3 linked regions of the Cricetulus griseus genome follow. The protein of the gene in region 1 binds, or shares a complex with, the protein of each later gene. Links are inferred from orthologs where the notes say so. Each region holds a gene or a part of one and is shown in the gene's direction. Other genes may lie near its edges.

What was found.
Region 2: the proteins of Sin3a (region 1) and Suds3 are in contact, whole or in part, in an NMR structure (PDB 2N2H), measured with the Mus musculus proteins. The link is inferred for Cricetulus griseus from reciprocal best matches to the Homo sapiens genes SIN3A and SUDS3. Residues at the interface, in NP_001103821.1 of Mus musculus: Glu616, Glu619, Leu620, Val623, Arg672, Ile673, Tyr674, Ala675, Lys677, Asp680, Ile681, Ile691, Ala692, Ile695, Val696, Arg699, Met702, Lys703, Glu706, Trp707, Glu709, Ala710, Phe714; in NP_848737.3 of Mus musculus: Ala205, Leu207, Asn208, Tyr209, Leu210, Leu211, Gln215, Ile216, Glu218, Asp219, Leu220, Thr222, Leu223, Leu226.
Region 3: the proteins of Sin3a (region 1) and Sap25 are in contact, whole or in part, in an NMR structure (PDB 2RMS), measured with the Mus musculus proteins. The link is inferred for Cricetulus griseus from reciprocal best matches to the Homo sapiens genes SIN3A and SAP25. Residues at the interface, in NP_001103821.1 of Mus musculus: Leu121, Lys122, Val123, Ala126, Leu127, Leu130, Tyr144, Phe147, Leu148, Met151, Lys152, Phe154, Lys155, Thr161, Val164, Phe182, Phe185, Leu186, Pro187; in NP_001075431.2 of Mus musculus: Ala208, Glu209, Ile211, Ala212, Leu213, Ala214, Gly215, Leu216, Leu217, Gln218, Met219, Ser220, Glu223.

Annotation. Positions count from the first base shown.
Region 1 is NC_048597.1:168,592,254-168,602,586, forward strand, and holds the start of Sin3a (paired amphipathic helix protein Sin3a), read left to right. Parts: upstream 1-4,342; 5' UTR 4,343-4,368; intron 4,369-4,658; exon of another isoform or gene 4,659-4,678; intron 4,679-8,536; exon of another isoform or gene 8,537-8,673; intron 8,674-9,302; exon of another isoform or gene 9,303-9,436; intron 9,437-9,590; exon of another isoform or gene 9,591-9,793; intron 9,794-10,333. UniProt on the Homo sapiens protein: Acts as a transcriptional repressor. Corepressor for REST. Interacts with MXI1 to repress MYC responsive genes and antagonize MYC oncogenic activities. Also interacts with MXD1-MAX heterodimers to repress transcription by tethering SIN3A to DNA.
Region 2 is NC_048597.1:97,073,426-97,083,590, reverse strand, and holds the start of Suds3 (sin3 histone deacetylase corepressor complex component SDS3), read left to right. Parts: upstream 1-4,053; coding exon 4,054-4,302; intron 4,303-4,381; coding exon 4,382-4,460; intron 4,461-6,580; coding exon 6,581-6,650; intron 6,651-10,095; coding exon 10,096-10,151; intron 10,152-10,165.
Region 3 is NC_048597.1:116,542,974-116,552,540, forward strand, and holds Sap25 (histone deacetylase complex subunit SAP25), read left to right. Parts: upstream 1-4,254; 5' UTR 4,255-4,413; coding exon 4,414-4,556; intron 4,557-4,699; coding exon 4,700-4,797; intron 4,798-4,879; coding exon 4,880-4,983; intron 4,984-5,075; coding exon 5,076-5,208; intron 5,209-5,308; coding exon 5,309-5,406; intron 5,407-5,480; coding exon 5,481-5,780; 3' UTR 5,781-5,853; downstream 5,854-9,567. Other genes in the region: Lrch4 (leucine-rich repeat and calponin homology domain-containing protein 4), read left to right, coding at 1-76, 194-293, 541-631, 721-797, 905-966, 1,065-1,184, 1,295-1,357, 1,431-1,534 and 5 more; insulin receptor substrate 1, read right to left, coding at 6,955-8,006, 8,173-8,602. UniProt on the Homo sapiens protein: Involved in the transcriptional repression mediated by the mSIN3A but not the N-CoR corepressor complex.

The DNA of each region.
Region 1 (10,333 bases):
CCTATAATTGTCAGTCAGTCACTAAAGTAAAGGCCCTGACTTTTTTTTTTTTTAAATGTATACAGCATTCTGCTTCCATCTGCACACCAGAAGAGGGGACCAGATCTCTTAAGGGATGGGTGTGAGCCACCATGTGGTTGCAGGGAATTGAACTCAGGGCCTCTTGAAGAACAGCCTGTGTTCTTAACCTCTGACCCATCTCTCCAGCCCCTGACTTTTTTTTTTTTGATATTTATTTTTTAATCTTACATACGTTGGTGTTTTTCCACGGGTGTCAGATCCCCTGGAACTGGAATTACAGTTGTGAGCTGCCATGTGGGTGCTGAGAATTGAACCCAGGTCCTCTGGAAGAGCAGTCAATGCTCTTAACCACTGAGTCATCTCTCCAGCCCCACCTAACTGACTCTTGAGGCAGGAAGATCACAAGCAAAGGGAGTTCAAAGTCCAGGCTAGGCAACTAGTAAGATCCTAGCTCAAATTTTTTTGAAAGTTAAAAAGAGCTAAATACATTTGTGTTCCAAGTGCTCATATTTTTATTACTAGCACTGAGGACTCAAGGAGGCTTGGGAAGGATCATCATGAATTCTAACCCAGCCTGAGCTATGTGAAACGATGTCCAAAAAAAAAAAAAAAAAAAAAAAAAAAAAAAACCCACCACCACCACCACCACCAACAAAAAAAACCCAAAAGTGTGTTGTGGTGGGAGGCTAAGGACTGAGAGACAGGTTGTACAGATAGTCAAGTGTTTGCCTCACAAGAATGGAGAACCGAGTTCAATTTCCTGCACCCATGGAAATCAACATGGGTGGAAGATGCTTTTAATTCCAGTACTTGGGAAGAGAAGATAGACCAGAGACACTGGTATGTGAATGAGTTCCTTTTTGTGAATGAGAATGAGTATGTCATATCCATGAAGTAGATGGAGGGTGACAGTTTGAACATACATGTTGTGAATTAAAGACCCATATCTGTATGTAGCTGGGAGGCAAATCTTGTTTCTTTGAATACAATTTTTCTCAACTATCTGATGACAAAGTACTGTTAGAAGCAGGGAAGTAAGGTTTGTGCATCAGGAGAGAAGGCAGGGTGTTCTTTCTAAAGGCCTCAACTTGGATGGTATGCAGAAACAGTATACGGGGGAGTGAACAAACTTAGGATTTGGACTTAGGCAAGTACCTCTACTGGTTGAGGCTTCAATGTGCTAATCTATAATCACAGATAATAGTGTCCAACAGAAAACGACCAGGGTATTTCACACAAACACATCCTGATGTTTTTTCCAAGGATACTCATCCAGATCCATTCAATTGTACCTTCACTACTAGGGGAGTGAGAAATGGGAAGAATCGTTGGCACGGTCGGGATAATGTCTACCCAATACTGAATCAGAAATAGTCATTGGGTCCCTTCCTGGGCCCCTGACTATACTGAATACTGAGACCCCCCAAAGGTGAATTGTCCTTTCAAAGAGCTCAATCCAAGGGGTGTTCCTTTCTCCATAATGAAGGTAGAGAGAGGGCTCATTGAGTAAGAGCATTTGCTGCACAAGCAGGATGACCTGAATTAAACTTCCCATTCCCCATGTAAAAAGCCCAGTATGGTTGGGCAGTGGTGGTGCACACCTTTAATCCCAGCATTGGGGAAGCAGAGGCAGAGGCAGAGGCAGAGGCAGAGGCAGACAGAGTTCAAGGCCCTCTCCTATACAGAGTGAGTTCCAGGACAGCCAGGGCTACATAGAGAAACCCTGTCTCTTAAAAACAAAACAAAAAACTCAGACTGGTATGGTTTCTTTTTACATGTATACCTATAACCCAAGAGCTGGAGAGTAGGGGATGGGAAGGCAGAAGAATCACTGGGGCTTGCTGGCCACCAGCTTAGTTCCAGATTCAGGACAGAGCTTGCCTCAAGGGAATAAGGCAGAGGCTGATAGCAGGACACTTAACATCCTTCAAATATGCACTGGTGTACACACCTGTCTATGGTCACATAATCATACATAAGCATATGTGTGCATGCTTGTGCACACAAATTACATAACTACAGTATGCCACTTGCTCTTCAGGACAATAGTCAAATGCCTAGGCTTCTGGCCTCCACTGAGATTCAGAACCTTACTAGGCAGTAATTATATTGATCCTCATACCATAGTAAGAATTGTTATCCTTAGAGCAGGTGGACTCACAGATAAGGATGAACTAAATGGAAGCCAACATCAATGGGACTTTCTGCCTAATGTTCTCTGTGCAGTACTACTGTGCTTCAACTCATTAATACAGTATTTGTTTCTATCTTCAGCTAAAAGTTGATCCTCATCTAGGAAGAATGAGCGGTGACTTCCATGGCCCTGTCAGGCCTCATACTGAACCCATTGTTCTCATCTCCTGACCTTTCCTCTCTACTTGGTTTTTTGCAGTTACCACTCACATTCCAGTTCCCATATACCAGCTGGAATGACCACTGCCCTTCCTAGATTGGTACTTCTTCCTGCCTGCCCAGTCTCCCTCAATGACAGCTTCCCACATGGACTCTAAGTAAGGGAAGAATCCTTACATTATCTCCACGGACTCCTCTGTGTACTCACTTTCACCCCAAAATAGAAGAGATTTACTTGAGTATAACACCACCAATCATTGGCTATGCTAGCCCTCTAGTAACCACAGAAGGACACTGGCTACCTCTTCTATTACCTACACTGAACCATTTATCTACTCTTCCTTGAGGTTTCCTCAAATAGGCTCTCTTTAAATGATACCAGGTCTACTATATAGCCTATGCTGGCTTTGGACTCAAGGTCTTCTTTCCTTTGCCTCCAAACTGATGCAATGACAAGCATTCGTCATCATACCAAGCTTGGTAAAGTTCTTTCAAGTAACTCAGGTTACTGGAAGTTGTCTAACTGGCAGAGCATCCTTTCCTGTTCATTACCCTACCTGATATCCCAGTTAACTCCCTTTCTTCAATGACTTCTAAAACAAGTGTTTCTTGGGGGCTGGGCTGTACCAAGCACTCAGCTGGAAGAGTGCTTGCCTAGCATACATGAAGCCCTGGGTTTGATTTCCAGCACAACAAAACAAAACAAAACCCAACAAACAAAAACACACACAACCCCCACCCCCCCACACACAAAAAAACATGTTCACAGCTATAATCCAAGTACTTGGGGAGGCTGAGGAAGAAGTTAATGACATCTGCTATGAGTTTGAGATCATGAGATCCTGCCTGAAAAACAAAACAAATAAAAGGAAACAACAACAACAAAATAGTTTCTTGCTCACATTGTGTGCCACGGCTCTGCTCAGCTCAGCTCTTGTGAATAAATAGTTAATGATAAATAGCAAATGAGGCAGGTAAGGAGCTTCAACTGAGGATTGTTGAAAGTGAGGATAGTTTTCTGATTGGGTGGTGAGGAGGATAATTTCCCTTTGCTTTCTCCAGTCTATTCTCCGACCCAAGATACCCCTCTGAAGTCTGTAAACCCACATTACAGCCTTTGCGCTTCCCTCCTTGACTATTGGCATCCTTTTTGTCCAGCCTACTTTCAGAATTTGTTCAGCTGATAGCTAAACGCAATTCCTCATGTTGGAGTGACTGGATTTACGCACACACCACACACACACACACACACACACACACACACACATACAACCTTGCCTTACCTCCTGTGGCACCTATCTGGATCTGAAGTGTTTGGAGGGGATCAAGGACATCTCAGCCTGTTTACAAATCTGCACTCTGTAGCAGATACAGTGAAATGTCCGATTCACCGACACCCGGTGCTCCCGCCCTCTACCCGTGGATACTCAGAGAAGTGCCAGTTTTCCCGGTTTTCAGATTTCATAGCTGAAAGGCACCTAACAATGTAGGCTGGAAATAGGGTTCAAACAGTAAAGCCTAGATGTTGCAGCCACTAGCTGCCTGCCTCTAATCCAAGTACTAACCAGGTTGGACCCTGCTTCGCTTCTGATATCTGGCGCGTCCAGATGGTAGGATCACAGACTGCTTGCTACACGTTTCTCCTGACCCAGCACCAAATGGATTGTGTGTGTGTGAAGGAAATTGAGGCCGGGTAATGAAGATGCATCTTCCACGCTGCGGAACTCCGAATCTCAAAAGGACTAGTCCGAAGTCTCCGAAAAATTTCAAGAGGCAGTGTGGGAGATGTAAGAACCTCTGTTTCGGATGAGAATCCAACTCCTGGTTAGTTTAATTTATTTATTTTTATTTTTGTGGAGGCAAGGGGCGATCAATGAAGGGGAAGGGGCGGGGAGAGGGAGGAGGCGGACCCAGAGTGCTGACGTATGTACAGAAGAGCCAATGGCTAGTGGGGGGCGTTCCCTCCCATTCAGGACTCCTCGCCTGGTTCCGAAGGTATGTTAAACAGCTGCTTTTAATTTGGTCTCCCCAATTTCGGTCTTTTGGGGGGCTAGTTCCTTGGCTGCTTGCTTTGGCTGGCACAAGCTGTGTGGGTACCGCGGTCTCCAAGACCGAGCTGCGAGGAGTCTCGGAGTCCCGCGGCCGAGGTAGGCTAGGGGCAGGCCAGGAAGAAGAGCGCTTGGCGCCGCCCGCTCGTAGTGTGTTTCCAAGCCGGACTGGAGCCGTGGGGAGGGGGCCGGCCTGGCCTGGGGTCGCCCTTCCGCCGGCCGCGCCACCCAGTTAATTTACCAAGCAGTCGGTTTCGGTAAGTCTAGGCAACGCATTGGGGAATGGGCCGACCGGAGACCAACTGCTCTTGTAATGCTTTAAAAATATTTTAAAAGAAAAATCGCATAAAGAAAAAAAGAGGGATTTCTGTACAGCGAATGGAACAGGGCCCGGACTGCGGCGCGCGGGCTCGGCAGGGGGCGGCGGCCGCAGCTTGGTGGGTCGGGCCCACGGAGCTCACGGTGTCCCGGAGTTGGTCGACCGCTGGAGTTTAGAGCAAGCCGGGGCCGGCGGTCTTTCTCCGCTAACCACGCTGGGCGAGTGCAGCAGCCGCCCCGAGGGTTTGTTTCTGTCGCCAAACTTGGAGGGGTCGGTGGGCGAGCTCTGGGGAGGCGCGCCACCTTGGACCCGCGGTTGTTAAGGACTCTGGGGGCGGGAGCAATGCTGTATTTGCAGGAGGAGACTGGGGGCGGGAGGGGTTCTGGCCACTAACCACGGGAGGCGCCGGTGTCTGAACTCCTGAACCGTGGCAATCTAGCAAGTATTCGGCGCCAGAGCCGGAAAGGCTGTGATTCGGCGCGGAGCTCTAGCTGAGTGTCGAAAAGCTCTCGGAACTCGGCGGATTCGATTCGCGGCCCCAGCTGATCCCCTTGCAAACATGGAGCTGCCTCCTTCCCCGCCCACCTCACGGCGGCGGCGACTGCTCCCCCTCCCCGCGTAGTGCGCTGCCTGGGCTCCCTCTTTCCGCGAGGTGCCGCTGCGTGCCACAGGGCCGCGTACGGGGTGGGGGCAGCCGTGCGCGCGCGCGCGCTCACGAAGGGGTGGCCTGAAAGGGGCAGTGAAGGTCGGAAACTGGGAAAACAGACTCCACGCTTGGAATAGGGAAAAGGAAATGCATCAGCGGGAGGGGAGGGGCGCGCCTGTCAGCCGGATGGCGGCGGCGGGCCTAGAGGCGGGGCGCCGGCGCAAAGTGCGGGCAGTGGCGGTATAGTGAGGGGAGGGGAGGCTCAGGGGCAGTCTTCAGAGTAAGCGGCCACCTCAGTTTCTGCTGCCTGGCCCAGACTGTTTACTATCTCCTGCGGGGAGCTTGTGCAACCGGCCTGGAGGGGACCAGAGAGGGGCGGGGCCATTTCCTCTTCCACCCACTCCAGCCTCTCTGAGGCTCCGCCTTCTCTTGTCTTCCACTGGTTGGACGCGAGTCCCTTTTTCCCCTTCTTGTGTACAGATTGGATGACATTCTCTAGAGCTCCGCCTATCGGGAGGCTGGACTGGAGTTTAAGTTGCTAAATTTTTTCTTCTTCGAAGGGCGGAGGGAGGATTCCTGGGGCTTTTGCTAGGTGCAAGCCCCCGCCCCTGCTTCTGATTGGTGAATTGGATAGGCCTTCCCCTTCTAGGACAAGCTAGGAGGGGACGTACTCCTGCTCCCTGCCCCCGCTTCTCGTGAGCGCGCTCGGCACATGTTTGCGGCCCGCCTAGCTCCCTGCAACTTCCCTCCCGCCCGGAAGTCTCAGGCTCCGCGCCCTTAGTAAGGGGGGCGGGGAAAGCCTTGGAGGCACACAAAGATTCTTCCGAGTCTAGAGATCTGGTAGCCCTCGAGGTGAAGCCTTACAATTGACGTTGTTGCTCTGCAAAGTGTAGCTCCGGGTCTGCCGAATTGAGGGGAGGGAATGAGTTCGGGTCAACCGGTGCTGTTTTTCTCCGTGCCCCTTGACTTCCTTAAATTTAAGTTTGAGAAAGCTTGAACATTGGCCGCATCCTTAATTCCCTTGGCAAGACAGTCGTGGTCCTTAGTCGGCGGAATCTGATTATGACAACCTAGTGATGGAACCTTAGGCAAGATCTGTGATACTTCGGTCTCTTGCAGTCCAGGGAAGTCTAGAAGGCCTATTTCTGGCAAGGATTCGGGGGTGGGGTGGGGTGTTTGTTGATACCATGGTGGGAGTGCTGTATGGTAGGTAGTGTAGTGGGTGAGGCGGTTCATTGCATGGTATCTGTCAGTTCTGGAGCGCTGCTTTCTCAACCTCTGGGCGGTTTGACTCAGTGATTTTCTTATTTTTAGAGCCCTATCCAGGGGCAGGGTTTGGCTTGGTTACCGGTGTGACTTCTCCCACCTGTCGGCCACTCTTGTAGTTCACAACTCATTATGGCCTCGCGGCATGGAGCCATGCTAGGAGTCAGACCCACCTGTTGCCAACGCTTATTTATGGCAGTCTTCTCAGGATTACAGGAGGGCAGCACTGGGTTTGCGAAACGTTTCCCCGTGCAGTAATCACTTGGGGAAGAACACTTAATTCTAGGGAGAATTCATTTTTTTAACTGCAGAGCTCTGATAGACTAGTTCTGGAACTGTTCCTCATGGCGCAGCAAAAGCACCCTCAAAGCAACGTCCGCGTTGGGCCAACACCTTATTGATGAATAAATGAAAGGAGCTAGATATCTTAAAACACTTGTGTGCTTCAGGCATTCAAGGAAGCTATGGGTGCCCCCTCATTTTTTAAAAAGAGGCTGGTCTAGAGTTCTTAAATTTAAGCAATATTCTTGCCTCATTCTCCCAGATAGTTGGGATTACAGTCTCTTCGCTTTGAACAGCCATTCTCAAGACCACCCCTTCACACACACACTGGAATTTTTACTCATCTTCTGAATATGAATGCATCCTCAAGGTTTATTTATACCGTGCTCTGTTTGAGCTTTTCTGCATCTCGGTTTCCCTGGCCTAAAATGTCTCTGGATCTACCCTGCCAATAGGGAATTCATTTTGCCTCTTGCTCCGCCCTCCGGAGGCTTGCCCAGGCGGTGACATTTAAAGGCCTCCGCTGGGTTGTCTCCGCCCCCTGAGGGCTGCATATTGGAGTTGTCGGAGTGTCACAGTATGCGGCCACCCCTAGCGACTGGCTTGTAATCTCTGGGTTTGTGTATCAGTTTAGAGCTCAAGACCTTAATTTGGGTCTTGGCTGTATTTAGGAGACAGTGAAAAGTGTAAAGCTAAGTGGGTAGGAAGGATAAGATCCTCTGTCATTGTTTTGGTAAGTCCTCCGCGGTGGTAATACTACTGCTGTTCCTCTTCAAATCCTAAAGCCTCGGGTTTTGACTGATGAGCTCCAAGCCATGTCCAGTTCGGGCCTTGGAACTCTTGAGCTTCAGTCTCTAGTGTAAACATTCCACAAAAGGACTGCTAAGGTTCAGCATCCTCGCGCAAGGCAGAATGGGCTCCTTCCTGGACCGGCGCCGTGTCCAATGGCGGCTCCTACCGGCGCCAAGATAATCCAATCAGATTGCTGGGGGCGGGGCCTGGCCCAGCAGTGTGGTGGGTGGAGTCAGTCTCACTTACGGACATTTTTACCCCACATTGGTTACTTACCTTCCTGGGGCTGTGAGAGAACCAAAGGTAGCCTTCCAATGCGGTGACCGGCGGAGGCGGGAGCCGATTTGTTAGGCCTGTGGCTGGGGCGGTAATGGGGAGGGATATATGGGACTCTCCAATGAGATGTGACAAGGTGCTTTTCTTCCTCCAATAATATTGCAGCCTGGGGGAGGGATTCGGCAATCAGTCTCCAATAGGCGGGGTTGAGTTAGGGACGCTCCCCGCCAATAGGGGCGTGGAGAAGGTGAGCGCCTCGCCCTCCCCTCCCAGCGAGGAAGGAGGCGGGTGTAGGTCTGTAGGGCGTGGTGATTGGCTAAACCTTTGACGGATGGCTAATACATCCCGTGGCGGAGCGAGGTTAAGCCTTCCCTCGGCGGGGCGGGCTGGGAGTGGGCGGGATTTCCCGGGTAACAGAGAAGCGGCCGCGGCGGTAGAGGCGGCAGAGACGGTTTCTCCATCTTCCCCCCTCCCCTTCCCCCCTTAGAGTTTCCCTCCCTCCCTCCCTCCTTCCCAGTCTGGGCACCCAGGCCTGTGACCGCTTCGTGAGCGCAAAGGAGGTTGCCAGTCCGCTCTTGCGGGCCTGTGCCCGCGCCGTTCCGGGGCCTCCGTGCTGGGTGCGAGGCTCACGCCGGGAGGGACGCGCAGGCTGAGTGGCTGGAGCTTTTGCGGTGAGAGCACGCCGCGTCGCGGTCCACCCGGCAGCTGGGTGGCGGGTAACCTAGGACTGGAGGGCGTGTGTTTTTCGGGGGGGCTGACCTCGGCTTCCCGTGCGTGGCTATGGGGGGCGGAGCGGGGCCGCACTCCGTGCGGGAGGGGGAGGAGAGCGTAGTCCCGGTGCGCACGGAGGGGCGGGCCCTCGTCCCGCCGATCAGAGGCGGGGCCGGCGCGCGTGCGGTGGTGGAGAAAGGGGCGGGACGGGCTCGCGCTTAATGCCCGCGGCTGCGGCCCCGCCCCTCCTCCCCTCCGTGTGGGTGGGGCCTTGGGCTGCATTGCTTTGGGCCCGCGGGGTGTGCGGGACAGGAAGGGGGTCTCCCGCGTGCTGCTTTTAGGGCGCGGCGGCGAGGGGGCGTGAAGACGGTGTTCCCCCGCCTTCGTGGGATCCGGTTGGCCGGAAGGCGCGTTCGGGGCTGCGATGCCACGCCCCTCCGGCCCCGCCCCCGCCGGGGTTTCCGCCTCCTTGGCAGTGAAGCAGCGCTGGGGAAAGCCCGCTGTCGGCGTCTGGCCTGGAGTTGGGGCTCTGTGTCTGCCCCGCCTTCCGTCCCTTTGGGTGGGAGGGGCTCTTGCAGACGCGGAGCGGTGGAGGTGTTCGGACTTCATGCTGTGGCTCCTCCTCCTATTCTGCCTGGGGCGACGGGGCCCAGAGAGTAGTCCTCTCTACTTTGCTCCTAGCATCGTGGATGGTGCCGTAACAGCTGAGAGTGTAGAATCGTGGTCAGCTGCTCCTCTTAGTCGTAATTATTGGGAGGAGATGCTCAGCGTCCTCAGGAGTGCCTGCGGTGGGGTGCGGCTGGTGCTGTGCCCATGCTTCCGCGGCAGTGGCTGGTGGGGGAGGGGCAGAGGCATCGGGGGCTGGAAATGTGGAGGGCGCCAACCTTTCCTGGACTTCTCTTGATGCTCAGCTACTGTGGCTTTACCGGGCGGAGACTTCGCATCAGAGGAGTAGTGGGCAGATGCCTAAAATTTGCGATTCGCATCAGAGGAGTAGTGGGTAGATAAGCTAAAATTTGCGGCTGTTTTTGGTATTTTAGGACTTTAAACTCAGTTTTGCGCTTCGAGCTGCTCACAAAGGTGAGATTTTAGTTTTGCTCAAAGGATTAAATTTACATTTTAATCTCAAAAACAGGTCTTTGACAAAGGATTTTTTTTTTTTAATGGTGTGGTTGAGCATGTTGGAGTTTATCTAAGGCACTAGGCCTGATTCTTTTTTCTTTTTCTTTTTAAGTTAGGGCTTTCACTCTGTATCCCTGGCTGGCTTCGAAGAGGTTTTGTTGTTGTTGTTGTTGTTGTTAAGTAAAATAGTCTTAATTTCTAGCCGGGTGTTGGTGGTGCACGCCTTTAATCCCAGCACTCGGGAGGCAGAGGCAGGCGGATCTCTTATGAGTTCGAGGCCAGCCTGGTCTACAGAGCGAGTGCCAGGATAGGCTCCAAAGCTACACAGAGAAACCCTGCCTCGAAAAACCAAAAAAATAAAATAAATAAAAGAAGTCTTAATTTCTTGACTGAAGGTTTTGTTACATAAGCTTAGCTTTACATACGTAAATTTGAATTTAGTGTTCTTTTGATTTTTCTGTAATAGTCCATAAAGGTTAATGTTGCTCTTTTTAGATA
Region 2 (10,165 bases), about 72 Mb from region 1:
CTCCTCTCCCTCGTGCCCCGAGTCGCTCTCGTGTTGGCTCCTCACGTGCTGGGTCCCCACGTGCAGCCTCCGCTCGAGAGCCCGCGTCGCGCCCCACTCTCCACGCAGGACCCTGGCTGCCGCCGCTGCTGCTGTCCGAGGTGCGGCTCCGCCAGGGGTGGCCAATCGCACCCGACTGCGCGGAGCGCGCCCCGCCCCCGCTCGGCCCCGCCCTCGACCCCGCCCCCAGCCGCACTCTGATAGGCTCTCTATTGACCTTCCCTGATCCCAGGCCTCGGGGGGGTTCTTGCCTCATATAGGCGTTCTATTAGACTTCCCTGGGAAGGCCGACCGGTCGATGGATCCAGGGGATTGGCGGATCTGGGGGAGTGGGCGGGTCCAGTGGGGGCGGGGCTCTCTTAAACGCGGAAGCTCTCTCAAATTGTGTTACCCGTGGCCCTCTAGGGTGCGGCCAGGCTTGTTTGTGCAGCACAGGGGTCAGAGTTCGTGGCTCTCTTCCCCATGCCTTGCCTTTTCTTGGGAGACCACCGTGGGAGAGCTTGTGGGACGGACCCGATCTCTTAGGTCTCTCGCTTAGGTCTTTCGCAACTCCTAGTCTCCCCCCCCTCAAGGCAAGCTTTCCTCCTGGGGGCTTGTAAATATTTCCTAGGTCTCAGACAGGGGGATGGCGTTTTCTTGCCTTGCGTTCAGTGGACGTCAGTTTACTGATGGAAAGGAGAGAAAAAAAAAAAAGCAAAACCCAAAAAACTGTAGACCAGATAAACACTCTATACAGCTAAGTACTTAACGCGGTCTGGACACATTTTGAAAAGTCAAGTCTTTCCATTCGTGGCGCGATGTGATGTGAACACCAATAACTAATAACTCTGCAGGCAGAGGCAGGAAGATCGCCTCAAGTTTGAGTTCAACCTGGGGTAGATAGCTAGACCCTGTCACAGAAGAAAAAAAAAGTGAAAAAAGAAATAATCATTTCGTGAGTTTTGATTATTATTGTTGTACAAGGATCTGGGGTAGGGAACCCCGTTAACTTTGGCAAGGTTCCAGCAAGCATATTCAGTTGAACCTCTTTCAGGGCCACAGGCTTTCAGGAACCAAAGGTGGAAGGACACTGAGTTCTGACCCCAAGTGCACCCTGCAATAACCTGGATCCGTCCTGAGCCACGCTGAAGCATAGTGTTTGCCAGGGATTAAAGTGCACCAGGACCAGTCTCATATTTTTGTGGAAATGGCTGTGTTGCTTCAGTTAACGGTAGAAGCTCAAAATAGCTTTCTGCAGGGGCACATTTTCACCCTAGGCCTTGGCAGACGTAGACACGCCTTATCGCTAAGTAAATGCTCTACAAACTTTTTTTTTCTTATTTATTTGTTTATCTAAGATTGGGTCTCACTGTGTAGCCCTAGAACTCTGCGTAGATAGTTTGGCCTTGGACTCAGAGATCTATCTGCCTGTCCCTGATGTGTGGTGGCCACCACACTTACCCCTCCCCCTTTTTAAAAAAGCATGTCATAAAACTGCTCTTTTCCCAAATTTGCATACTAAACTTTGTTTGCAAATCAAACTTCATCCCAACCACTGGGCACCCTTAAAATCTGGATGGTGGGAACACAGAGGCTTCCTGAGAAGGCCTGAAGTTGTGAACACAGGGCTCCAGGGTTTGAGTTTCAGGTCAAACTCTGAGGTAGGTATTTACTAAGCAGACTGACTGAGTACCATATTAGGGAGAGAAGCAGTGGTGGACTTTAAGGGGTGAAACTTGATTTTGAAGAAAACTTAGGCTTTATAGGCAAAGTTGGCTTATGGAACAAATAAATAAATAGATAAATAAAAGAATAAAAGTTGGCCAAGCCTAAAGTCACAAAGGGTTTTTAAAATGTAGTTTCCCTGTTCCAGAAGAGCATTTAATACATAAATTGCTCATTGGGCCAGCTCTGCTGTCTCCATGGAAGAAAAGGGGTAACTGTCATCACCCAGGTTTGTGTCTTTGTTATACACATACAACAGAAACCCATGACTATTAACGAAGGACAAGCAATCAGGGAGACAGAAATAAAAGCAAGCAAGATTACAAGAGAAGGGCCCAGCTTCTTGTAACCATTTAGTAACAAAACCAACTACTTTTTGATTCATTGTATCAATGAATTCTGATTTCAAAAATGTTGCCCTTCATTTTCCCCCCTTTGCTTTGTGAATAGCATTACTAATGGGAGCTCCAGTCCCTCAACGTGGAGTTAAGATAGTAGAGGTGATCCAACTCCAACAGCGGGTGGATACACACACACACACACACACACACACACACACACACACACACACACACACACACACACACACACACACACACACACTGACCTCATCCTCTGCAGGAGAGACCCCTCTGCAAACCTCTACTGAGGATGAGCTTGAAGAAAGACTCTTCTTACTGGGAAGGGGTTTCAGATCCTGGGACTTCTGGGAAACGCATCCAGCATTGCATTCTGGAAATTCTTGCATTTTACACAGAGGAAATATCTCTTACAAAGAGAACCAAGACTTAATTAAAACAAGGTAGTAAATGGGAGATGTCAGAATGAATGGGACCCAAAACAAGTGTTCTCCATTTTAGAAGTCTCTCTGGGGCCAATTTAATAAATTTGATCACAAAGGCTGTGAGAATCAGAAAGACTGTGTATTGGGTTCCACCCTGCCTTTCACTGCATTCTCGTCTGCCTGGATTTGTTACTTCTTCCGTTTTTCAGTGCAGATTTGAGTCAACTGAATGGTGTTACTGTGGCCACATCATCCCCACCTCCCCGCATTAGGAATTGAAGCTAGGGTTTCCAGCATACCAGGCAAGTGTTCTACCCAGCAGCATCCATGGCCCTTGTTTTTATTTTGTTTTCAGATATGGTCTCACTAAGCTGGCTGACCTTGATCTTGCTGTCCCTCCTGCTTTTATTTTCAAGAGTAGCTGGGATTATAGTCTTGACCCACTAAGCAGAGCCCACTTTTATTTATTTATTTAGGTTTTTCTAGACAATGTTTCTCTGTGTCGCTTTGGAGCCTGTCCTGGAACTTGCTTTGTAGACAAGGCTGGCCACATAGAGATCCACCTGCCTCTGCCTCCTGAGTCCTGGGAATTAAAGGCCTGCACCACCACTGACAGGCTTTTTTTTTTTTTTTAATTTAAAGCAAAACTGTAATACTGCGTTTCCCTTTTGGGGCGGTGGGGTGGGGTGAGGTACACAGCCAGGCAAATTAACAAATGCAGAAACTCTGTCTTCTTGCCTTTTTGTGTTTGTTCTCAATTCAGGATTTCTCTGTATGGCCCAGGCTGTCCTGGAACTCCTTTTGTAGACCAGGCTGGCCTCGAACTCAGAGATCTGCCTGCCCTGTGCTGGTACTACAACAGTGCGCCTCTATGCCCAGCGTTGGCTTTTGAATTTTAGCCAACGTATTTCCTGTAGGGAAATGCTTTATTTGCTCACTTGAAAATGAGCAGGTTAACTAGTTACTGGGTTAGGCAAAAGTACCTTAGAAATTATATTCGAGGAAACAGGAGGCAGCAGTCCCATGGGCAGCCTGGCTATGTAATTCTAAACTGATGCCACCGTTTTTTCTTATTTTTTTTTTTTTTATGGAGAATGATAGCTCTTTGATCATTTGTCAAATCAGGAAAACAGCTTACCCGGTAAATCTATTCAAAAGGAAGCACGAGGGAGGCCTGGGTACACTGGACACATAGGTTCACTGGACTCGGGGACGGAATGGCAGCAACTTGCCTTTAATTCTTAAGCCCCATTAAGGCAAGGGTGGAAGCAGACTCCTCATTTTCTGTATCACACACACTCTGGCTATCTAGGCTTCCACACCCACCAAAGGAACTGTTGATTTCGTTCATCTGCTTGAATAACAGACCTTGCCACCCATTCAGGGCTTTGCAAAGCCTCCGCCCATCAGGTCGCTTCCATCTCCACACACACTTTAGTTTTGACTCCGGGCGCCGCCTGGCGGCCGTCTCCGGAAGTGTCCTCCCAACCTCGGGGTCCTGACCGCAGGCAGGGCTGCCCACGGATATGCCTGACTTCAGCGACACCTCCCTTCGCCCCTCCCCCGTGGCCGGCCGATCGAGCATTCTAAAGACGACGATGAAGGAGGCGCTGCTTTGTGAGAGAACGTGGAGCCCGGCGTCTCACCCCTCGCCTCGAGGATGGCGGGATCAGGCTGTCTCCGGGCAGCCTCCGACCCGGAAGTGGCCGTCCGCGCGAGGCCCCCGTTGCCCAGCGCGGGCGCCGGGGGCGGAGCTCGGCACCAAGGGGCACCGGGTGTCCGCGGCTGTGGCTCCGCGAGGTGGGGGCCGTCCGGGGCGCAGCCAGGCGGCCGCGATCTCCGCGGGACACATAGGCGGCCCGAGCGACGAGCGAGGAGCTGGAGAGCGCCGAGGACGACGAGCGCAGCTGCCGGGGCCGCGAGTCCGACGAAGGTGCGGCCCGGGCTGGGATCGGAGCCCGGGGGCCTAGGGGGCAGGGGGCAGAAGTCGCCAGAGCTCTTGAGAACCAGGGGTCCCTTTAAGATTGTGTTCCCGTTCGGTGTCTGAGCTCCTTTCTGGGTGGCGGGGGAGAAAGTCATACTTCGGAGTGCACTTGGGTCTCAGTGATGCCCAGCGTCTCTCCTCGAAATGCTTAACCCCCTAGCTCCACTTGGGGACCTGGAACCAGCCGGGTGTAAGTATTCGTGTGGCTGGCACCCACCCCGGCTTTTGTGGCCTTAAGCTGCCCAGCGGCTTGTTTACCCACCTACTTGCAGGGTAGTATGGAGTCCTCACTTCCTGGGTAGGTTAAATGAAATCCGCTCTGCCTCTGTGAAGTGGAAGCATGGGAGTGGGGGGAGGTCGGGATTCGTCTTCAGTCCCCGAGTGTTTTGCATCTGCGTTATCGCTCCTCGGGTCTTCACTTCTCAGTCTGGACTTTGTTTACTGAGGAAGGAGCCAGCTAAGTGGGGGAGAAGCTAGGTAGAGAGGTGGAGACGGAGGGGAACCGGGGAGGCCTTTGAGTGGAGTGTAGGATTCTGGCACAAAGTCGGGCTGTAAAAAGCAAAAGCTACTTCAACTGTCTGCTAGGAGTATCGTCTTGCTCCTCTTAGTCTCTCTAGTTCTAAGGGACATAGCTGACTGGCTCTAGACAGGACCTCTGTGAAAGTGTCTCCCGACCCCCCCCCCCAAAAAAAAAAAGCGGCGTTCGCGGAGCAGAAAGTTGAAGGAACTGATTGCTTTTGGTTTAACTGAAGGCAAGGCTTTTAAACCAGGGATTTCGAAATGTGAAACGCTGCATTGCTTTTAATGACCACGAGGGGGCGATGTGAAGACAAAATTTGATCCCCTTGGATGTAGGGGCTATTGGATTCACCTATTTGCTCAAGACCTGTTTAAATTATTATTATTGTTGTTATTATTATTATTATTGTTGTTGTTGTTGTTATATATGGGGGCCTATAGAAATGGTTCATCCGTTTAGGGCGCTTGCTGATTTTTTTCAGAGGATCCGGGTTTTGATCTCGCGCACTGTCTATATGCAACTCCAGCTCCAAGGGCTCTAGTGCCTGCTGACCTCTGTGGGTACCAGGCAAGTTAAGTGGTGCACCCACATGCAGATGAAGCATTCATATACATAAAACGAAATAAATATAATTGAAAATGTTTTTTTAGTTAATTAATTTTTGTTTATGTGTATGTCTATGTGTCTGAGTTTATATGCACCACGTATGTACAGTTGCCCTTTGAAACCAGAAGAGGGTGCCAGATTTCCTGGAACTGGAGTTACTGGACAGTATAAACCATTTGATGTGGATGTTGGGGAACCAATCCCTATCCTCTGCAAAGAACAGCTTTCTTAACTGTACTAAGCCACGCCTCCAGCCCCTATTTTTGGCCATGCAAGTTTTGGATCAATTTTTCAATTTTATTTATTCATTTGTTTGTTTGCTTGTTTGTTTGGTTTTTTGAGATAGGGTTTCTCAGTGTGACAGCCCTAACTGTCTTGGAACTAGCTATGTAGACCAGGCTGGCCTCGAACTAACAGAGACCCACATGTCCCTGCCTCCAGAGTGCTGAGATTAAAGGCAAGTGCCACCATCACCTGGCTTGGACAATTTTTTAAAAATGATCTTCTTTCCTCCCCACCTCCCTTTTTTTAATCTGTTAACTTTGAAAACATATCAGTTTTTAGAACTGAATTTGCTGTGGGGACGGCCTCCTTTTTACCGTTTATATCTAATGTGTGGTGGGATGGGCATGTACGCACCCAGGTCCTCTCTGCACACCATTGCTGTGTGGCCTCCATCAGGTCTGCCTGTCTGCTGTGACCTCTTCCTGATTGTATGTCAAACAAAAGCAGATACTCAGCATAAATCCAAGATGCAAAAGGCATTGGCATTTTCTTCTTTGTTTTAACCACATTTACTGCACTTATTTTTGCTAGTAGGTTCATGCAGACCCGAAGTGGGTAGAAATTTATTATTCTCCCAGATGCCCATTAATTATGCTGTCACGATACCAGTTCTGTGACTTTTGATCTCAGCCGTCATTTCTTCCCTCATTTCACGCAGACACTGAGGACGCCAGTGAGACAGACCTGGCGAAGCACGATGAGGAAGACTACGTGGAGATGAAGGAGCAGTGAGTCCGGCTTTATGCCTTTTCCCTCTGGAATACAGAGTCGATTCAGTCTTCATAGAGACCCTGATTGTGACCTTAGTGTTTGCAAAGCTCACATTTCCTCATAATCTCCCCCCCTGGTCACATCTAAGAGTCTTCACCTGTTATGGGCTCTTCTGCCGGTATGCTAGCAAGAGCCATGATTGAAATAATGGGGGAGGGGGTGTGATGAGGCCATCATAGATCTGATTTGAAAGCTGGTGCCCAGAGAAATGGGTATCTTGCAGGCCCCTAGGCTGCATATTGTTGGCAATACTCTAGGTGTCCTGAGAATTCAGGAAAGCTGGGGTTGGAGCATTCTTTGAACTCTTCCTGCCATCCGTTCTGTTTGCTCTCACACATCCTCACTTAAGCCCCTCCTTTGTCTTCAGCCATGGTCACATGCGCCCAGAGAAACTAAAGCCCTGTGTGCTTTTTTTGGGTGGAGTGGGGGAAATGATTTTGAGACCAGGCTAGCCTCCAGCTCACAGGGTGCTGGGATTAAAGGTGTGCACCGCCACACCTGGCTTTGCTCTTTTTCTTTTTTTCTTCCTTCCTTCCTTCCTTCCTTCCTTCCTTCCTTCCTTCCTTCCTTTCTTTCTTTCTTTCTTTCTTTTCTGTTTTTTGTTTTGTTAAAATAAAGAAAAACATGAGCCTGGTGTTAGTGGCAGAGGCAGGAGGATCTCTGTGAGTTCCAGGCCAGCCTGGTCTATAGAGCTAGTTCCAGGACAGACTCCAAAACAATACAGAGAAACCCTGTTTTGATTTTTTTTTTTTTTTTTTTTTTTTTTTTTGGTTTTTCGAGACAGGGTTTCTCTGTGGCTTTGGAGTCTGTCCTGGAACTAGCTCTTGTAGACCAGGCTGGTCTCGAACTCACAGAGATCCGTCTGCCTCTGCCTCCCAAGTGTGGGATTAAAGGCGTGCGCCACCAATGCCCGGCGAAACCCTGTTTTGAAAAAACCAAAAAAAAAAAAAAAAAAAAAAAAAAAGAAAAGAAAAAAGAAAGAAAGAAAGAAAGAAAGAAAGAAAGAAAGAAAGAAAAAGAAAAATACTAGCAACCGCCAACAAGAAACAAACCTGGCTCTTGCCATGTTGCCACACTGGTCTCAAACTTTTGGGCTCCAGTTGTCCTTCTGCATCAGCCACCCACAGAGCTGGGGCTACAGGTGCCTGCCACTGTTCTGCCCCAAACTTTATCTGTGTCCAGGAAAGATGAGTTAGCCAGAGGGTATCACTCCATGGTTCAAAGTTATCTGGAAATCATTTTGTCACCCAGGGGTGCCCTGAACTCATCACAACCCTTCTGCTTCATACTCCTGAGTGCTGGATTACAGGTTGTGAGGCATTAGCCCAGTTTTTAGAAAGTGGTGATTGGCTCTATTTTGAGGCCCTGTTGGATCTATCTTGAGACCCTGTTGGGTCTGTCTTGGGACCCTTCCGCTCCTATAGGGCAGGTGGTCCACGTTTCTGACCCCCAGAGTCTCCTTTAAACAATGTGCTTGGCCACCTCTGGAATCTGACATTTTCTAGCTTTTGAACCCAAAGGAGCAACTCTGCCAGGTGTGGTCAGTGCTGAAACAAGGTTACATGAATAATTCATACATGTGTATTCTCAGTTGTGTCCCGGAACTCTGCCTGGCCTTTCTACTTTGCCAGCTTTTTACTGGTGGCATCTGGTGGCTTGTTTGAAATGGGTTGTCACAGACTCTTCTAGGATGTGATCACAATGGATCTGGTGTCGTCCCCGCTCCCCTTCCTTTATCATTCTGCAAGCATTCCATTTCTGAGAGGGCTCAGTGGCAAGAATTGGCTACTCCCTCTGTGTAGTGGGGCTTGGGTTCCACAGACTTCTCAGACACATGCCTTCTGGGCATCTCCCCATCTACCTCTTGTCCTTATCATGTTTCAGAAACAGTTTTTTTTTGTTTGTTTGTTTTTGTTTTTTTTAATAAAGATCCATTTATTTTTCTTTTTTGTGTATGGGTGTTTTACCTGCATGTTGTGTACCACATTTGCAGTGCCCTAGGAGGCCAGAAGAGGGCATTGGATCCCGTGGAACTGGAGTTACAGACTGCTGTCTTCTGCCACATAGGGGCAGGAACTGAACCCTGTCCTCTGGAAGGGCAGCCAGTGCTCTTAACCCCTGAGCCACCTCTCCAGCCTCCTCAGCAGCAGTTTCAGAGATGCTTTGCTTGATCTTGTCTCCTTCATGCTTACTAAGCTAGGCAGCCATTGTGATGAAAGCTGAACACTCTTAGTCGTGATGAATATGAGCTCATTAGGGTTTGTCATGATAGAGGGGTTGGGATGGGGCCCTCAGGCCTGTCACTGTTCTGAAAAGAGGTGTCTTGCATTTGCCAGTCTTCTTGAGGAATGAAAAGGTCTTGTTTGAAGGGTGTTCTCTTAAGCCTTTGTTGTTGCTGTTTATCACTGGGAAGTTGGGGGCGTTTTCCATGTCGAGGCAAAAGTATCACCCCAGCCCGGGACTCACAGCTCAGACAGACTTGTTAGTGTGTGTGGTTGCCTGTAACACCTCTGTGTGAGTGTTGAGAAGAAGAGGTCACATTGCTCAGTGTGTCTGTGCTCTGCCCACCTGGGGCTGCACAGCCATCCTTCATTTTAACTTTTGAGCCTCAGTTGGCATTGTGTTTCTGATCCTGAAAATGCAGAAGCTTTATAGTGACAACCAAGGTTGGCTGTAGACTTCATGCTTATACACTGTGCTGTCTGTAGAGGAGGTATGCTAAGGATGTTTCCTTATTCCACCAGCCACGATCCTTTTTGAAATTACATTTTTGTGTGTTTGTTTTGTACCTTGAGAGGGGTTATGCCATGCTGTACTGTGGCAGTCAGAGGTCAACTAGCAGGAGTTGGTTCTCTCCTTCCACTGTGTTGGCCCAGGAATAGAACTCGGGCTATCTGGCCTGGTGGCAAGTGCCCTTATCCTCTAAGCCATGTCCCCAGTCCCTTTGCCATTTATAATGTAATTGTAGGGTTGTGTAGACTCGATACAGGAATTGTGTTTAACCTCATTTCTGCATCTTAAATCCCAGAGAGTAGCACCTTCTCCTGATATTTTGGTGGGCTCTTGCTTACCCCTCACTGTAGGCATGTATTAATGCGCTCTTGCTTACCCCTCACTGTAGGCATGTATTAATGTGCTCTTGCTTAACCCTCACTGTAGGCATGTATTAATGCACTCTTGTTTAACCCTTGCTGTAGACATATTAATGCTGCAGCTCTCACTTCCGCACAGTTCACACTGCTTCACAGGATGGCATACGCTGTGCTGCAGGAGTGCAAGGGCATGTCTCTTTGTGATCCCTTTACCTCGAACATTTTCAGCCAGGCTCCCCTTCTCTGATGGCGTTCTCAGGACAGCATGGGCCTGCCTGTGCCAAGCGAGAGCTGAGTTCTTCTTTTGCAGGATGTATCAGGACAAACTGGCATCTTTGAAGCGACAGCTGCAGCAGCTACAGGAAGGTAGGTGCCTCCAC
Region 3 (9,567 bases), about 52 Mb from region 1:
TAACAATGGAGGCCGGAAGGCGGGGAGCTGCCCTTGGGGACCTGGTCCCTTCCCATCCCCCAGGTTTTAGTCCTTGGTAAGGCCCTTGGTGAGGGAAGGAAGGTCCTTGGGACCAGAGACCACCCCTGGATTCCAGTGGGAGGGTGGGGGTGATGCCAGCATGGAGCTGATCAGGTCTCCCTGGCTGCTCCAGCCCTGCTGAAGACTTATTTCCGGGACGTCGGTATGATGGCGGCCTGGACTCGGGCTTCCATAGTGTTGACAGTGGCAGCAAGAGGTGGTCAGGAAATGAGGTAAGGACCTCCTTGGTAAGGACATTGAGGATGTCACCACTGGGAGGGACTCAGTACTGGGGACCTGTACCTGATACCCCCACCCCCCCAGTAAGAAGTCATGGCTGGGACTCCTCCTCACTATCCCCAGGAGGCTGGTGGCTCCCCACCTGACCCTAGTCTCAGACTCTTCAGGCCTGAACCCTTGTGGCCCTCAGCCCTGCAGATAGATTAGCACATGACCCATCTCTGCCTCTCTGCCTCAAAGTCCACAGATGATTTTTCAGAGCTGTCATTCCGGATCTCAGAGCTGGCCCGGGAGCCCCGGGTGCCCAGACAGCAGAGGGAAGATGGCTCTGGTGAGCAAGGGAGTCTGCCCAAGAGGGTGAAGGGTGAGTGTGGGCCTGGAAGCCCCTCCTGTTTGCTCACCCTGGCCCTGGCCCTGCAGGCGATGGAGACCTGGAGCAGGTTGACTTCATTGACAGCCATGTTCTGGGGGAAGATGAAGAGCGAAATGCAGCTGAGGTGAGGGCCCAGTTATGTCCCTGTCCAGGTGAAGGGGCACTGAATGGGGAAGTTGGTGCAACCCCGGGGGACCAGGCCTGTGTCAGCCTCTGCTCTTCTCTCTCCAGGAGCAGCTACCTTCTGAATTAAGCCTTGTAGCAGGGGATGTGGAGAGGACAGGGAGCGGCAGGTATTCCAACCCCAAACCCACTGGGCTGCCCCATACTCACCAGCCCTGGCACCTCCCCTTTACCTGACAAAGATCTCTCTTGTCCTGTCTTCTGCCAGGCGGGAGGAGCCTGCAGGGGAGGAGAGGCGGCACCCAGACACTTTGCAGTTGTGGCAGGAGCGGGAGCGGAGGCAGCAGCAACAACAGAGTGGGGGGTGGGGATCCCCCAGGAGGGACAGGTAAGGGCCTGGGGCTGGGATAGCTACAGACAGCAGGCAGATGAAAACCCTTCCCTTCTTCTGAATGTGTGGCCTGACTGTCCAGCTTATCCCTCATCTGCTTCTTCCAGTGTCCTGAAGCGGGGGACCAGAGCCACGGGTGCTTCGGCCTCATCCACACAGGCCACCTCCAAGTAGGTGTCCTCCCAAGATCTATCTCCCTACACCTTCCTCGTGGCCTTCTCTGAGTCCCTTCTTTTCCTTCAGTGGCCCACCGAAGTCCAGTGCTACCCAACTGGAAGTTTCAGGGGGGCAGGGAGCTCCTACGCCATCCTCCATCTCCCAGGAGCCCACCCCTGTGTCTGGACCAGGTAGGGATAGCATTTTAGATGGTGGCTTCGGGGTGCTTGGGACATAGAGGCCTGGGGGAAGAGTGGGCCACTGAGGAGTGTCTCTTGCCTGCCCTTGGCTTTCCCCCAGTGACAGCTCCTGTCCCCAGGCCACTGGGCTCCATTCAGAGACCAAACAGCTTCCTCTTCCGTTCATCCTCTCAGAGTGGCTCAGGTGAGTCTGCCCTCAGGACTCCTATGTTGTGGGACCTGTGTCTCTCAGGGCGTTATTCCTGTGTTTGTTTGTTTGATGTGTGCTGCTGTTTTGCCTGTATATACTCTTGTGTGCAGTGTCAAATCCCCTGGAACTGGAGTTACAGACAGCTGTGAGCTGCCATATGGGTGCTGGGAATTGAACCCAGGTTCTCTGGAAGAGCAACCAGTGCTGTTAAACTCTGAGCCAACTCTCCAGCCCCAGGGTGTTGTCCCTTTTTGTGAAAAATCTCCCAGGCAGGAGGTGGTATTGGTGTGAGACTGTTGGAGCTGGCTCCAAAGTTTATCAGTGAAGCAGAGCTGTCCCCATTCCCTTTACCTCCCAGGCCCTTCCTCTCCAGAGTCTATTGTGAGACCTCGGCCGTCTCCTCAGATTCTAGATGAGAAGGAACTCATGTCCCAACTTCGACAGGTGAGCAGAGTGGTATCTGTGTAGACAGAGGCCTGGCCCAGCATGGCACCTCATTCCCCTTTGTTTCCTCAGGACCCATACAGCCCTCAACTCCTCCTTGTCCCAGAACTGTCATCGAGGAGGGGAAGGGATGGAGTGACTTCTCTGTTGATCCCACCTGCTTCTCTTGTCTCTGCTTCCAGGTCCTTGAGTCACGGCTGCAGCAGCCCCTGCCTGAGGACCTGACGGAGGCTCTCGCCAGTGGGGTCATCCTCTGCCAGTTGGCCAACCAGCTACGGCCTCGCTCTGTACCCTTCATTCATGTGCCCTCACCTGCTGTGGTCAGTGGGAGCAGGAGGAGGGAGGGGGTGGGGCAAGACTGGGGCTGTGCCTTTCCAACTCTTCTATTCCCTCCACCCCCAGCCAAAGCTCAGTGCCCTCAAGTCTCGGAAGAATGTAGAGAGTTTCTTAGAAGCCTGTCGGAAGATGGGTGTCCCTGAGGTATGGGGCCACTCTGCTCTGGGCTCAGCTGAACACCATGCATGAGGGGTGGGGTTCAATCCACTGGGCATCTAATTCTACAGGAAGCCTGTGTCCTGGGCCCACCCCTCACAGTCCTGCCCTGCTCTCCCTCCTGTCTCCCTGTCCTGCATGTCTGCTTGTTGGTATGGCTCTGGCTGTGGTCCTGGTTTGTGAAGGCAAGGGTGGGAAGGTCTGTGGCTCGATGCTTCTAACATGTGTCATTTGCCCTTGTCCATTTGCCCTGCCCTCCCTTCCCAGGCTGACCTGTGCTCGCCCTCGGATCTCCTCCGGGGCACCACCCAGGGGCTTCGGACCACACTGGAGGCTGTGATCCTGGCTGGGGGCAAGGCCCCCCTCCCAGCCCAGCCCTCCTCTGGTCTGGGTGGCTTCCTCCTCTTCTACGTGGCCTCCATGCTGCTGCTCTATGCCGTGTACACTCGGCTCCTGGGCTCCTAGGACCCACGCTGCCCTTCATTCCCTACCTTCTATTTATAAGTCCTCCTGTTCAACCATGTCCCCACCGGTGGTGCCTTCAGCCCCTACCAAAGACACTAGTGTACCCCTCACAGACACTGACCTCAGAAGCCCCACTCTAGTGCCCACAGTAGCCCTTTACCCCACTAGTGCTGATGGTGCCTTCATGTCCTCCCACTAGCCAGCCCTCTGTCCCCCAGAGGGATGACAGACCTTGGCTGTTTCCCTTCTCACCTCCCTCCCCCTACTGGCTGCTATGGGGGAGCTAAATTATCTCTATTTTGTAGAGAGAGAGAACTCTATATTTGTAGGGGATGTGGGCCCATTATGGGCCCCTGGTTCTGTGTATAAATTGTATAGATTGTCACTTTTGTGTGTGCTGTGTGAGCTCCTGCTGCAGCCAGGCCTTGTCCTGCCTGGGCTCCGTTTATGTCAGCCTGCCTATACAAGCATTTCCCTTTGGAAATGACAGGCCTCTCCTGCCCCTGAGCCTTCTGTGTTACCACCCTTCTGTCATTTGCTGACAGCTTCCATGTGTCTACCAGGAGCGTGCCCCCACTCCCTCCACCCCGCCAGCCTTGCTTGGGGAATGCCAGGGGAAAACTTAACCTGGGCCCCTCCCCCCAGGAGTCCCTGTGCCAGCCCCACCACATCCTGGAAGAGGAGGGGGCCCCTGGAAGGGGCCTCCCTCACATCGCTGCTGTCCTTCACGCACTTCTGGAACAACCTTAGGGGTAGAGGTTAGGGCTCTTGGCCCCAGCCACCACCGGAGCTGTCCTGGGAACAGATGACACCTGGGCCCTGCCAATTAACAAGGACTTGGTGACCACGGCCCTGTGTGTAGCACTGCGCTTGGGTATCTGCCTGCCCTTAGGCTGCTTCGGGTGCAGACCCCGGTCTGGGTGAAGAATGTTGTGTCAAACACAATAAAGAAAAGCCCAAAGGCCTGTAGGTTGGCCCTCAGCTGTGTACCTGTCTGTGAGTGCGCGAGCTTCTTGGGTACATGGGCCCTACTGTGGGTCCCAGGGTAATCTGATGTTTCTGTGCTGGGTAGAGGGGCTGCAAGGGCACAAGTGCCCCATGGCTCTGCCGCCAGGGGGAGCCCTTGAGAACCTGGCGGGAGCGTGCCACGTGGCTGTAGAAACTGGCGCAGGCGTCGTGGCGACACCTCTGAGGTAGGCTAAGGACTTGGGCGCCTGTGCAGTCAGGACCCCACGCGGGCGCAGGGGTGGGTATTGCCTGGCGCTCCACCAGACACAGGATGCTGCCCTGGCTTGGGCCGTGGGGCACCGGCCAGCAGGAGGCCAACGAGGAGGCAGGCCTGTCCACGGGCAGTGACCACGGCGGGGACTGGAGCTGTGGAGAGGAAACCGCGGAAAAGCCAGGACCGCCGGCGCAGGACAGGTGAGGGCTTGGTGGGCCGCTAGGAGGCGCGATGGGCGCTTTCGGAGGTCCGTGCTGGGAAATGGGTTGCTGGTCCTGTGACTGACTTAAGCCAGCCCTGGGGAGGGAAGGGAGTGGAAGAGCATGTCCTTCCCTTCACACAGTCCACAGCCCCAGGCCCTCAGCCCATCTGAGCCCGGAAGAAAGCTGCCGCCTCCGACCTCCAATCACCTGGCTCCTGAGCGGACTGTGGAAGCCCCAGGTAGGCACCAGATCTTGCTGTTTACACCCACAAAGCCCCAGAGATTTAGAGCCTGTTCTACTCTTGTCTCCTTTCTTCGCAGTACCTCTTTCTCCCCAGATGACTTCCCAGGCCACCCCCTCAAGGATGACCCCGCTGCCACTTTGGGATCCCATTCACGAGGCTAATGCAAGACCTCAGCTGGTGGTGAGTTGGGGGATCCGAGGCTCAGTCACCAGGTAGCAGAGGTGCCATAAGAGAGATGGAGCCACTCAACAGTCACTTCCTGTTCTCCACAGGGGCCCAGCTGTGGGTCAGGCGCATCTTTGTCCGGCAGGACACTGTGTCATCCTTCCTGGCCTATGTATGATGACTGGGGCAGGGTCCCTACCTCAGGGCATCCAGAAGAAGCACAAGTGTCCAAGGATACAGGTACTTCTCTGGCCCCTCACCTGTTGGATGTTTCTGGGGCAGCTGCAGTGAGGGTTAACATAGGCCAAGGCCACCAAGCTAGCAGGCTCTCCTCCTTTAGGGCTCCCAGTGACAGGCTATGAAGATGTCTTTCTCTTGGACCCTCTGCTACCCTGTGGGCAGCGTGTTCCCCTGTACCTGTCCAAGCCCCCTCAGCAGGTAAGAGTGAGCCTCCCTCCTTTCTTCCTCCAAGCAAGGCCTGGGGGGATGAACTTCCCTTCCTGTTTCCTCAGGCAGTGGGCACTCGGAAGCTGCTGCTCCCACCCCCCATCATGTCCTCGTCTGTGCGCCCCTCCTCATCCCAGGCCTGCTCTTCCACCTGGCTCAGTGAGGCAGAGATGATCGCCCTGACTGGCCTGCTGCAGATGAGCCAGGGAGAGCTGAGACCTAACTCCTTGGCAAGCCCTCTGACCTCTACCAGCTGCCAAGACCCTGGCTCTGCCTCTGAAGACCCAGGCCCCAGTGGTGGCCAGAGCTGTTCTGGAAGCACTGATGCATGTCCCACACAGACCCCAGATACCCACTGTCCATAGTGCCTTCCCTCAGCTAGTTCTGGCTTCTCCCCCGAGCTGTTTTGCTGACAATAAATCACCGTTAGTTTGCAAACCAGGCTCTGTGCATCAGGCGACACAGCGGGGCCTGGGATGGGGAGGCAGGTTGGGTTCCTTCAAACCACTACAGTCACTTGCCTTTCCTTCAAGTCTCCTTTACTCATTGGTCACCTACTACTTGGGGTGGGGAAATCCATTCAGCCAAGACAGTCTGGGTGCAGAGCACCTTTAATGGGTGGGTTGGGTCCACAGTTCTCGATTGGGCTGCACTCTAGGAAGCAAGGACTTAGTCAGCTCCGCCAGGCCAAGAGAAGGGCCAGGTGAGCCTGACTGGTACCAGAGGAGGACTTAAGAGGCCAGGTTCCTTGGGGGAGAGGAACACTAAACATGGTCCCTGATGCTCCCATCATTTTTGAGCCAGGTCCGTAGGAGTTCATCTCTGGCTTGAAAACATTAAGTGAGGATAGCTCTTGGGTTCAGGGGACACAATGACATCTAGCTCCCAATATGTGAGAAGACAGAGCTGTCCAAATTGGGGTGGTGGTCTTCCCCCATGGTATGGCCACAGCTAGCCTGAGATTGATTCTGTAGGAATTCCTCAGATAAGATCAGGGTCTCAGATGAAAAGGCCCCAAACTTTGTAAGGTTTGGGGGCTTTCTATTTGGTTGGTTGGGTTTTTTTGGGTTGGGACAGAGAGAGATTCTAGAACTTTCTCTCTTTAAAAGAATCTAATTTGGGGGCTGGAGAAGATGGCTCAGAGGTTGAGAGCACTGACTGTTCTTCCAGAGGTCCTGAGTTCAATTCCCAGCAACCACATGGTGGCTCACTACCAGCTTGTTATGAGATCTGGTGCCCTCTTCCGTCCTGCAGGCATATATGCAGACAGAACACTGTATGCATAATAAATTTTTAAAAACCCTTTAAAATTAAAAAAAAAACTAATTTCTTGGGAGAACCTCTTCCTGAGGGTTTCTTAGGTGACACATAGCTGGGAGTGACAGAGCAGACAAGGGGCAGCATAGCCGCTTACAAGGGATGTGGTGACCTCAGGGTCCCTTGCTCCCCTGTGCAGGAGCTGAAGTGAACACTAGTAACTCTTTCTCTCTCCATTGGCCAATGCCTGGGTCTCCTCCCCTGACATCTCCCCCAAAAGTTCTAGAACTTGATGCTGGCATAACTATTTGGACTATCCTCAGAGACTGCTCCAGGCACCTCCAAGGGCGGGACTAGGTCCAGGTCCACATAGTTGAGGCAGCTATCCAGGGCCCCTGGCTTAGCACTGTTCATTCCTACAGAGTCTGGGATGTACATGTAATCCCCAGATAGTTCTGAAAGTTGGGAAGAGCGGGGCTGAGCCTCTGTGGGTCCCCATCTGTCCCTAATGCTGCAGGGGGCACCCTGATGCCCAAGTTCAGGCTCCCTGGCCTTGAGCTCGTAGTAAAAAGACCCTGGTAAAAATCTATTCATGGGCACGTACTCTGTGCCCTCACAGTCCTGAAGTGACTTGCCAGAATCTACCCTGGCAGGGGCGGGAGGAAGGCTTGGGGGTGCCATCCACATGTAGTCACCAGCCTTCCCTCCCATGTGCACATAGTCATCCCTGACGCCCATGGTGATATAGTCCCCGCCCAGATCTAGACCCTTGTAGGAGGGTGTGGGCCCCGTCCTTTCCAAGGTCTTGCAGTCTTGCTTTGCTCTCTCACCCGGGCTTTTTGGTTGCGTTACAGAAGCAGGGGTTTCGTATGTTGTCGGGGCAGGGGCTGCAGAAGCACTGTTTGGAAGATCTCCAGATGGTAGCTCAGCCTTGCCACTGGTTGCACTGCTCCCCAGCCTCTTCATGGCAGCCAGGACGGTCTCATGAATGCTTTGGGCCACCACTGCATCAGGTGCCTGCATCCACAGCTCCCCGGGACCTGTGGGCGCTGATCGCCCGAGTTCCAGGAAGAAGAAGGAGTCTGCGTGGCCACAGCGGCGCACGCTGAGCAAGGACAGACGCAGGGCGGGTGGTGGCGATGCCCGGCTGTCTTTGGAGCCTTTGCTTCCTGGCTTCCGCAGGAGGCTCAGGGCCCCAGAACCCAGGCACAGGCGATAGCTGCCGCTGCTCAGGCCTTGTACACGCCCCAGCCCCTTGGACCTCAGTGTCACAGGCCAGACGTCCTGGAACGGGGCGAAGATCCAAGACTCAGGGGCCTCTTGGGGACTGAGACCTGGAGAGAATGGGCAAGTCACTGGGAAGCAGGGATTGGGGGTCACCGTGTCCCAGGAAACCAAAACGTGCAAGTTTAAGATTTGAACCTCTGATGATCTGGGGGAGACGGGTTCTGGATAAGCTAAGTCGGCAACCCCCTGCCCTCCCTGTCGCCCAGGGCTCACCCATAGCGGTGGCAGCAGCTGCCGCGGCCGAGGCGCGCACCTCCAGGAGGGCGCTGTACCATGCTTGCTGCTCAGCTTCGCTGGCCGCCGCTACGCCCAGGCTGCTGTCGCTGGTGTAGACGACGATGAGGTGGCGCTGGCGGGCATCCGCGCGCTTGCTGATAGTGCAGGCGCCCTCCAGGCTCACACTGCGCCGGGGTCGAGGTGGGCGGCAGCCGCTGGCGAGGAACTTCTTCTCGTTCTCGTAGCACTCCAGACGCGGAGGGTCAGCACGCAGGACGAAGAAGCGGCGGCGCTGAGACTTCTGCTTCCGCAGGTGGCCACACAGCCGCACATCGGGTGGGCAGGGCCAAGGAAACGGCGGGCCAAGCGACACATCCGTGGACTCGGTCCCGGGGGAGACCGCGGGACCCGCACCTGCCGGTTTCATCTCCAGCCACGGGCAGTCGAGTGCCTCGGAAGGACTGGTTTGGATAGGTCTGGTCGCCCGAGCCACCGCCGTCTTGGGACGAGGAGCAGCGACCTGGGAGATGGCAACCGTTCTAGCTACCCTGCCTCTCCCCACGCCCTCGCAAGCAACCTGAACACAAGCGTGCCTGCGCTCCCGTGGCCGGGGACACCGGGACTCCCAGATCGAAGGAAGGCTGACCCAGCTGGGGTCAATCTCCACCCCTTCAGTTAGCCCTCCCACGCCCGCACGCCCGCCCGAGTGCAGGGATTTGAGTTTGGGACTCGGGCTAGAGCAGGAGTCCCGCGCCGTTGGGACCAAACTTTCACAGGGGCGGGGAGTGTGCGGGCGTCTCCGCCAATCAGCTGACTGGATATGGGGGTGGAGGAGTGCCGCCAGGGGCAGCCTGGGGCAATCCCAAAAGCCAGAAAGCCAGGGTGCAGTAGCTGCTGTCGTTAGTAATGATGGGACTAGTGATTAGAAGAGCGGCCTAGCGGGCCATCCTGACAGCACCAGATCCCCAGGCAAGAGCCACCCCGCCCAGCTTCTACCCGCAGATTCTCAACGTCCCTCTCCTTCCCACCCAGAGATGGTTTTTGTCTTTGCTGCTCCGGAGTAATTCTGGGATCATAGCTGCTGAGCACTATGTATGCAGGCATCCTAACTGCGGTTTCTAAATGAGCTTGGGGGGATGGATATCCCAGAATAGAGACATTAGTAGATTGGTCTCTGGTCACGAACCATACCCACCACATGCCTATGCACTCAAGTGCCCAGTGAAAGAAGAGACTGTCTCTCAGGGACACCTTCAAAGTGCTCCTCACCATCAAGTCCAAATGCTGACCTGTGTCACAGACGCCGGGATTCTGTGGTAGATGCCTTGTGACCCTTTGCACCTGAGAGGTTTGGGTGGGATCAGAGATCAGACTACGTATTCGTTTTGTTTT